2 linked regions of the Sus scrofa genome follow. Each later gene encodes a partner of the first gene's protein in a complex. Links are inferred from orthologs where the notes say so. Each region holds a gene or a part of one and is shown in the gene's direction. Other genes may lie near its edges.

What was found.
Region 2: CYFIP2 (region 1) and BRK1 share a complex: the UniProt entries of both Homo sapiens proteins name them as parts of the WAVE1 complex. The link is inferred for Sus scrofa from reciprocal best matches to the Homo sapiens genes CYFIP2 and BRK1.

What each region holds. Positions count from the first base shown.
Region 1 is NC_010458.4:65,998,523-66,003,013, reverse strand, and holds the start of CYFIP2 (cytoplasmic FMR1-interacting protein 2), read left to right. Parts: upstream 1-1,437; 5' UTR 1,438-1,576; exon of another isoform or gene 1,577-1,991; intron 1,992-4,491. UniProt on the Homo sapiens protein: Involved in T-cell adhesion and p53/TP53-dependent induction of apoptosis. Does not bind RNA. As component of the WAVE1 complex, required for BDNF-NTRK2 endocytic trafficking and signaling from early endosomes.
Region 2 is NC_010455.5:66,314,119-66,318,517, forward strand, and holds the start of BRK1 (protein BRICK1), read left to right. Parts: upstream 1-1,319; 5' UTR 1,320-1,395; coding exon 1,396-1,597; intron 1,598-4,399. UniProt on the Homo sapiens protein: Involved in regulation of actin and microtubule organization. Part of a WAVE complex that activates the Arp2/3 complex. As component of the WAVE1 complex, required for BDNF-NTRK2 endocytic trafficking and signaling from early endosomes.

The sequences.
Region 1 (4,491 bases):
GCTGTAGCATAGACCTGCAGCTACATCTCTGATTTGACCCCTAGCTTGGGAACTTTCACATGTCATGGGTGGGGCCCTAAAAAGACACACACAAAAAAGGAAACCTCAGTTCTCTTTTTAAAGCCATCCTCCACAAACACCCCCACAGCTTTCTCACATGGCATCAGGGACAGAAATGTATATGTATACATAAGTCATCCTTTCTGAAATAGAGATTTAAATTAGAATGAGTGATGTAACATCAAACCACAAAGGATCATGAATCCTGAGCACTCGGGAAAGGATGTGAGATCAGCGAGGACAAAGACTTATACAAGTCCTTTGCTGAGTGTTGAGTAATGTGGCTCCTCTATAAATAACCCTTGATAGGAAGAGCTGAGTGATGAACTTTACATTTGCAAGCCCCTCAGATATATTTCAGGAAAGTTCCCTTGTAGCAAGACTTTACCCCCTAACTTTAAAACATCTCAAATGATTTCAAATCATTTACCTTGTGAAGTAGGAAAGGCAACGATTATTCCCCACATTTTAGATGTGGTGGCATCTCAGGAACAGAGTGGTGAAGTGACTTGCTCAGGGGTCCCAAGGTTGGAATTAGGTGTTGTCTGACTTCCACCTGGTTTGAGGCCCCGCCAGGATGCATTTCAATGTGAACCATTTCTTTGGAGGGCCCTAAATGGCAAATAAGTCTTGAAGAGAAAAGTGCCTGTCCTCTCAATTCCTTCTCTAATTTCCGTCATCATGGATTTGCCTTTTTGTCCATTAGGCAATTAATTCTTCCTGAATGAAGTTGAGGCAGGCCTCTGCTTAAGAGATGGCAGCTTCAGGGATTCCACACCAAGGAAGTGAAAGAGAGAACCAGTAGGTATTCTTGAACAGAGGAGCAGCATTTGGGATCAGACTCCATTGGCAGAAGCCCTCTCCCCAACTCTCAGGTTTATTTTCTACCATTTCACCCTGTTTCTTTTTTTCTTTTTTTTTTTTTTTCCACAAAACGGTCTTTTAGCTGAAACTGGACATTTGCCAAGTTAATTTATGCCATGTATCTCCTGATAGATGATAAGCTCCAGAAGGGCAGAGACTCTGTCTTTTGCATACCCCAGTGCATACTCAGCTCCTGGCACGGTGCTTGGAACGAAAGAAGTGCTCGAAAAATATGCATTTGGAAATCATGTGAGATCAATGAGATCCTAATGGAGCCCAAAGGATCAGTCCTCCCACAAGCTGCAGGTGTGGTTCCTGGGTCTGAGGGGCCCGGGAAAATCCTCCCTAAGCGATGTAGCTGGCTCTCCTGGGGCGAGAGGTCCGGGTGCAGGTCTGGGATGCGCCAGCCGCGCTGAGGGACGCACCCAGAGCCCCTGGCCGCAGCCATTTCCTGCTCTTTGTGTGACAGGCGCGGCGGCGAAGGGGCGGGGTGCGGGGAACGGAGGAGGAGCCGCAGCGGATGGAGGGGCGGGGCCGAGGGCGGGCCCAAGCGCGGCGGCCGCCGAGCCGGGCCAGGCAGAGCATCCTGCGCCCCGGCGCGGGGCCCCCGCCGTATCCTCGGGCAGCTCCCCTAGACCTGCTGCAGACCCAGGTAAGCGGCGCTCGCAGGCCTCGGGGCCGGCGTGGAGACCGGGATGCTGCTGGGGATGTCGACGCAGCCGTAGAGATGCGCGAGGGGCTCGCACCCCTTCTCCCAGCGCCGTGGGGGTGCTCGGCGCGGCGGCCGGGCTAGCCCGGCCTGGGGGCCCCAAGAAGCTCCCAGAGGCCGGGCCTCGGGCCCAGCACAGCCCGCTGCCCCCTTTGGCCCACCCTAGTGCCTGAGGCGCGGACCGCCTTCGGGGAGGCACCGACGCATGGAGAAGCTGAGGCGCGGTGGCGGTGGCAGCAGCAGCAGGTGCGCGGCCTGGGCCGAAGCCACCCGCCTGGGAGGAAGCGGCGCTCCTGTCGAGCATCTGAAGCACCTGCAGCGGCCGCGAGGCCGGCGGTGGCGACCTCCCGGCGCCCAGGTACCGCAGAGCGCCGGCCACCGCCTCTGCTGCCGCCTCTGCCGCTGTAGCTACCATCACCTCCCCCAGGGCCAGCTAGAGCCGCCTGGGCCCGCCTGGCAGCCGCCTTGGACGCAGCGCGCCCTGTAGTGAACGTGAGATGGGTGGAGCAGGGGTCTCCGCAGCGTTGTTTCGGGGTGGGGGGCTTTAATGAGCGAGGAGGCAGGCCTGACCCGCTTTGAAGCCTTCTGGCCTAGCATCCTCTCCCTCTGGCTGGCTGGGGGCGGGGAGGAGGTGGGGGGAAGGGAAAGAGTGGTCTGATTCCTGGGGGAAAGGTTGGGTTTTATTTAGCTCTGTAGTGGCTTCTGCGTTGCAGGACAGCCGCCTCCCTCCAGGGGTATGCATCATCTGAAAAGGTATACAAGGGCAGTTCTCCGTGTGGCAGTGGGGGTGGGGGCGGGAAGCATGGTCTGGAGTAGGTTCTGTCTGGAAAACCTGACAGAGAAGGACACCGAGACTGCCCAGGTACCCTGCTCAGCCCAGGGAATCTGACTTTGACCTCTGCCTGTCTAGTTTCCCCACCATAGCAGTGCGACTCACCAAGGACTGATGGATGGGCCTTCAGCTCCCCTTACAGCGGGGCCCAGAAAGGGACAAGGTTATTTTCCTGTGGGCTTCTGGGCACTTGTGCCTTCGAGGCATGGTCAGAAAGGCTGGGGTAGCCCTGCAGGCATGAGGGGCAATCAGGAGAGTGCTGGTTCCCACCTCTCCCTTCCCACCTCCTGACTCTGTCACTTTTGCGCACGGGGGTGGGTAGGGGGGAAAAGGAGGGGTGTGGGGAGGCCGTCGATCTTACCTTACTCTTGGGCACAGGCGCTGTTGCAAGCCATGCTGGCAGCTGTGAAGATTATAGCTGCTGGAGGGCAAAAATCTAGGTCCATATCCCTGGACAGGGTGGTGAAGGCCTTGAAAGTTGTTTTCTCCATCAGAGCTTCTCTGCGATCCCTCCTGAGACCGCTCACCTCTGCTTCCACACAGTGCCCTGTGCTCCACCCCCACCCCCACCCCCACCCTATTCTCCTGTGCCAGAAATTGTTTTCAAGAAAGGAGCCAGTGAAGGCATTTATCCTCAAAGAGCCAAATACAAACAAATTTCCCATTAGACGCAGAGCAGGTGCTTTAGAAGTCATTTGACCAGAAAGGAAACAGAGGCTTAGAGGCATTTTAATGGGAAACAAAGCTTTTAGTAAATAATATTTCATATCTCTAACGGTGGAATTTCAGGCAGTGGGCTGGAAGTGGGAGTGGGGAACTGGGTCGCAATTTTGGGGAACAGCTCACTGAAATGACAGCTTTTAGCAGCTGTCAGTGCTGTTTGCTTGCTGCAAGGGCAGCTTTGGCCTTAAGGGCAGAAATACCATAGGAGTAGTGTGTGTGTCTGTGTGTGTGTGTGTAACTGGTCAGGGGTTACTGTCACTAGAAGGCATTGTTGAGCACTCAGTGTCTATTTGGAAGAGGTGAAACCTATAGAGAGTTACTTGTTGACACTGGCTGCCATCTGCCAGAGCAGCTACTAGGCCACAAGAAGAGTGTGTTGTTGCTCTCAAAGCCAGTTCCCCTGGCTAGTTCTGCAGGCTGAGCCTCTGGCTGGGGGCATTAGCGTGCTGTTCACTAAGCTTCTTTATTATATTTCCTGGCCAGTTCTGACTGGTTCTGTAGGCACCCAGGCCTGCCTTGTTCAGTACCTGCTGGAAATGGAAAAGGAAAAACTTGTAGGCATTAGACCGAGAGTGGGATATGAAGTCCACCAGGATAGGAGAGTTTTACTCAAAGCCAATCAGAGTCTGGCGCAGAGAAGAAAGTAGACAAGAATTTAAAGACTGGAAAAGGATCTTGGGGGAATAGTACATGTCCTATCTGAAATATTGTGCCCTCTCGGGCATGCAGTGGGCCTCTGCTGCTGTCACTGAGTGGCAAGGCGAATTAGGTGATGAATAGGCAACAGCTAATTAGCATTGGGAACAGCACTCCTGGAAAATAGTGCCGAGAGCTCCAGTCCCCACATTTGAGGATCAGCCTATACTCTCAAAGAGGTTTCTCTTGGCCACTGTTGGTCCCAGGGTTCCGCCCAGAGCTGCGCAAAATGGCCTTTTATAGCCTCCATGTGGCCACCATAACAATGAGTCTATTTCTTTACTGGCATGTATTAATTATTCACTTGTAGTTGACGAAACCAGACAGCAGTCCCCTCACTGGAGCCTTTGTAAAAGGCCTCGGGTCTTATTGTCCTGAGGAGCAAAGCCAAGTCTAGGGTCCAGAGGATGGATCCTGCATTAGTCGTGGAGATGGGGCAAGGGGGGGCGGAGCATGCAGTTACCTTGAGCAGAGACACCTGTGCCATCAGTGGTGGGGAAGGATGCTCTTATTAAATAAGGGATGCCGCAAAGTGCCTAGCACATAGTGTGTACTATTATATTTATGTGTTTATTGTTATAATGCATTAATTACATAATCATGAAGA
Region 2 (4,399 bases), on another chromosome or scaffold:
GCGGCTTCGGTTCTTGGCCTCGCTCAGTGGGTTAACAATCCGGTGTTGCTGTGAGCTGTGGTGTAGGTTGCAGACGCCGCTCGGATCCCATGTTGCTGTGGCACTGGCGTAGGCTGGCAGCTACAGCTCGGATTCGACCGCTAGCCTCGTGAACCTCCATATGCCGTGGGAGCGACCCAAGAAATGGCAGAAAGACTAAATAAATAAAGACAAAATATTTTTTAAAATTGTTAAAAAAGAAAAAGAAAAAGGAATTCCCATCGTGGCACATTAGAAACGAATCCGACTAGGAACCATGAAGTTTCGGGTTAGATCCCTGGCCTTGCTCACCGGGTCAAGGATCCATTGTTGCCGTGAGCTGTGGTGTAGGTTTGCAGACGCTGCTTTGATCTGGCATTGCTGTGGCATAGGCTGGCAGCTACAGCTCTGATTAGACCCCCTAGTCTGGAAACCTCCATATGCCAGGGGTGCGGGCTCCCCCACCAAAAAAAAAGAAAAGAAAAAATTTTGTATTTTGTTTTCTTCTTCACTTTAGCATGTGTGTTCTGTTGCCATAATTGACATTTAAATGACCTCATAATATTGCTCTAAGTGACTATACTGATATTTAGCCATTCCCCAACAGTTGAGATTTGTTTTTTTAAATGAATGATGCCTTTAAGAACATTGTGCTCAAAGTGTTTTCTCTTTTCCAATGAGCTCTTCTTTTTTGTCTTTTTTGGGCCGCATCCCAAGGCATGTGGACTTCCCAGGCTAGGGGTCGAATCAAAGCTGTAAGCTGCCAGCCTGGACCACAGCCATCAGATCAAAGACTCTGCAGCTCTATCTAACCCACTGAGCTAGTGCCAGGGATGGAATCCACGTCATGGATACTAGTCATGTTCCTTACGGCTGAGCCACAACGGGAACTCCACCAATGACTTTATTAAATTTCCTTCTGAATAGATCTTGCCAGCTTACAGTATGACCAGCTATTTACTAATTTTCCCATTTCCCTTCAGCCAGCCTCTTCATCTCTAAGTATTATAGTTTAAAAAAATAACCTTTTGTTCATTTGATAAATGCAAGGTGGGCATCATGTGTTGTTAAAAGGCATTTTTGAAATGACTTGTGTTTTCTGTGGTTTAATTGGCATTGCCCAGCTTATTGTGGTCAGAGATCTCAGTTTGGAGCGCCTGAAGTTAGGGTTGATGCGGGCTCACGCGCCCCCTAACGACCAAAACTGCCAGTGACTGAGGGGGGACGGGGGGGGCTCTGAGTGCGTGCGCACTCCATTCTCCAAGCCGGTTTTGCGGCCACCGTTTTCCGGGGTGTGGGAGAAGAGCGAAGACGCTGGCGGGGACTTGACAATGCGCAGGCGCATCACGAAGCCTGTGGATTTGTGGCCAACCGAGCATGGGCGTGGGCTGGCTGCGTCGGCGCACTGGAGGCCTGGAGGGTCGAGGCGCGTGCGCAGTCGCGCTTCCTTCAGCTGCAGCCATGGCAGGCCAAGAGGATCCCGTGCAGCGGGAGATTCACCAGGATTGGGCGAACCGGGAGTACATTGAAGTCATCACCAGCAGCATCAAGAAAATCGCAGACTTTCTCAACTCGTTTGGTCAGCGGGCGAGCAGGGGGAGGCAGGGAGGAGGGGGGCCCGCCTAGGGAGGGCGCTGAGAAGCTTTGACGCGGGTTCTGGGAGCCGTGGGCTCCTGCTGGTGTTTGCTTCCGCCTTCAGGCCGCACTTTTCCCCTCTCGCTCTGACCCCCGGCCTCCACTGATCATTCCCTGTGGGGTTATCCTGCCCCACGCTGAGCTCATCGGCTTCATTGCCTTCCCCCCGCATCCAGTAACAAGTCCGTTCCTTTCCCGGACGTGTCAGACAGCCCCATCCATCGCCTGAATCTTTCCTTCTCTTCAGGCGTCTCCCTTCTTTTGTGCTTCGTTTCAGTCGTCACTTGGTGCTCAGAGAGCGCTGTCCAGAAGCCCTTTAGCGTCGAGCCTGTTAGTCGCCCCTCCTGTCGGTCCTTTCCTGTCTCGGCGTGTGCTGTGCAGAGTGGTAGATGAGAGCGGAGGAGGGCCCACATCGCGTCCGGCCAGGGACATCTCTGCATCGCTAGTATCTAGACCACAGTGGGTGTTGTCTGCTTCTAGCAAAATCTTTCCTTGGCATGACCTGTCCGTGACAGTCTTAAAGTTCCTTCCGCGTTGTTTCCTATCCTTGTGCTACACCCTGCAGCAGAGACTCCTGACTCTTGTTCTCCGAGTGTTACTTTGAAAGAACCGGGCACTGGGTAAACTTTTTATGTCATCACAAGGTGTGGGGATGACATCTAGTGATCTTTTTCCAGTTGTGCTTCTGGCCCACTAATTCAGCAACATTAAGCGATTAAGTAGGGGAAACTGATAAATTTAAAAAGACTTAAAAAGGAATTATTTTCTTGCTAAGAGAAGTCCAAAGGAGTGTATAAAGGTGACAGCAAGAGATTTGTCCAAAAGCATCAGCAAGACAAACTAGATCTGAGTACAAGGCTCTTTCTCAGTCTCTGTGGGGAAGACAGAATAAGAACCATTTCCTACAATTAAGTGATTTCTATTTTGAAGATGAAATAATGACATCAGAGCAAAGCAGAACATTGTTTCTGATTTAATATATTTACATATAGGAATTCCCCTTGTTGCTCGGCAGTAACAAACCTGACTAGTATCCATGAGGACCTGTGTTTGATTCTTGGCCACACTCAGTAATTTAAAGATCTGTGTTGCAGGAGCTGTAGTGTAGGGTGCAGAGGTGGCTGGGATTCTGCATTCCTCTGGCTGTGGTGTAGGCCAGCAGCTACAGCTCCGATTCAACCCCTAGCCTTGGAACTTCCATATGCCTTGGGTTTGGCCCTGAAAAGACAAATATATACATGGTCTTTTACATTTGTATGTAAATACACATTATTTATTTATAATAAGCTTATAAAATATATAAATATATATACTTGCATACAAATGTGTAGGACTATAACCTTTTTAAAAAATGTTTAAAATTCTTATAGCCATACCCATGGCATATGGAAATTTCTGGGCCAGGGATTGAATTCAAGCCACAGCTGCAGCAACAACAGATCTTTTAACCCAGTGCCCTGGGCTGGAGATTGAACCCACACCTCTGCAGTGACCAGAGCCACTACAGTCGGATTCTTAACCCACTGCACCACTGCAGGACCTCTAGAACTATAATCTTGATATGTTTTGGGATGGTGGAGTCCTCATTCAGGGACTGGGGGAAAGGTTGTATTAGTGAGCAGTAAGAATAGTATAAATTATATGCCAGTGATACATATTCATACATATTACTTGCTATAGAAGTTGTGATAGGAATGGTAGTTAAGAAATTATAGATCTCTGGGAGTTCCCATCATGGCTCAGTGGTAATGAACCTGACTAGTATCCATGAGGACTCTCACTGATTCCTGGCCTTGCTCAGTGGTTTAAGGATCTGGCGTTGCAATGAGCTGTGATGTAGGTCTTAGATGCAGCTCGGGTCCCTTGTTGCTGTGGTATAGGCCGGCAGCTGAAGCTCTGATTCAGCCCTTAGCCTTCCATATGCCATGGGAGCAGCCTTAAAAATACAAAAAAAAAAAAAGAAAGAAAGGAAATTATAGATCCCTGGAAGTTCCTGTGTGGTGCAGCAGGTTAAAGAGGCACAAGCCACAACTGTGACACAGGCTGCAACTGTGGCACAGTTCAGTCCTTGGTCTGGGAACTTCCACATGCCGAGGGTGTAGCAAAAAAAAAAGCAGCAGCAGAAAAAGAAGAAATAGAAATTAGTATCCATGAGGATTCAGGTTCGCCCTTGCTGTGGGCTGTGGTGTAAGTCACAGACTCGGCTCTGATCCCAAGTTGCTGTGGCTGTGGTGTAGGCTGGCAGTTACAGGTCCATTTTGACCTGGAACTTCCATATGCCATGAGTACAGCCCTAAAAAGCAAAATAAATAAATAAGTTCCTGGGCCAGGGATTAAACCTCAACAGTGACAACCTTTACCTGTTGAGCCATGGACCTCCCTCAAGTTTTTTCTGTCTTTTTTTTTCTTTTTTTTTTTTTAGCGCTGCCATATGGAAGTTCCTAGGGGTCGAATTGGAGCTGCATCCACCAGCCTGTGCCACAGCCACAGCAACACGGGATTCGAGCTGTGTCTGCAACCTACACCACAGCTCATGGCAACGCTAGATCCTTAACCCACTGAGCCAGGGCTCAAACCTGTGTTCTCATGGATGCTAGTTGGGTTCGTTAACCACTGAGCCGTGATAGAACTTCCCCTGAAGTTATTTTTTAAAGTTCATTGTAAACTCTTTCAATGTTCTGATAATTGTCCCTCCTACTTTCTTAGAGAGCTAAACTATTATTGAGGATTCTTTACTCATAACATT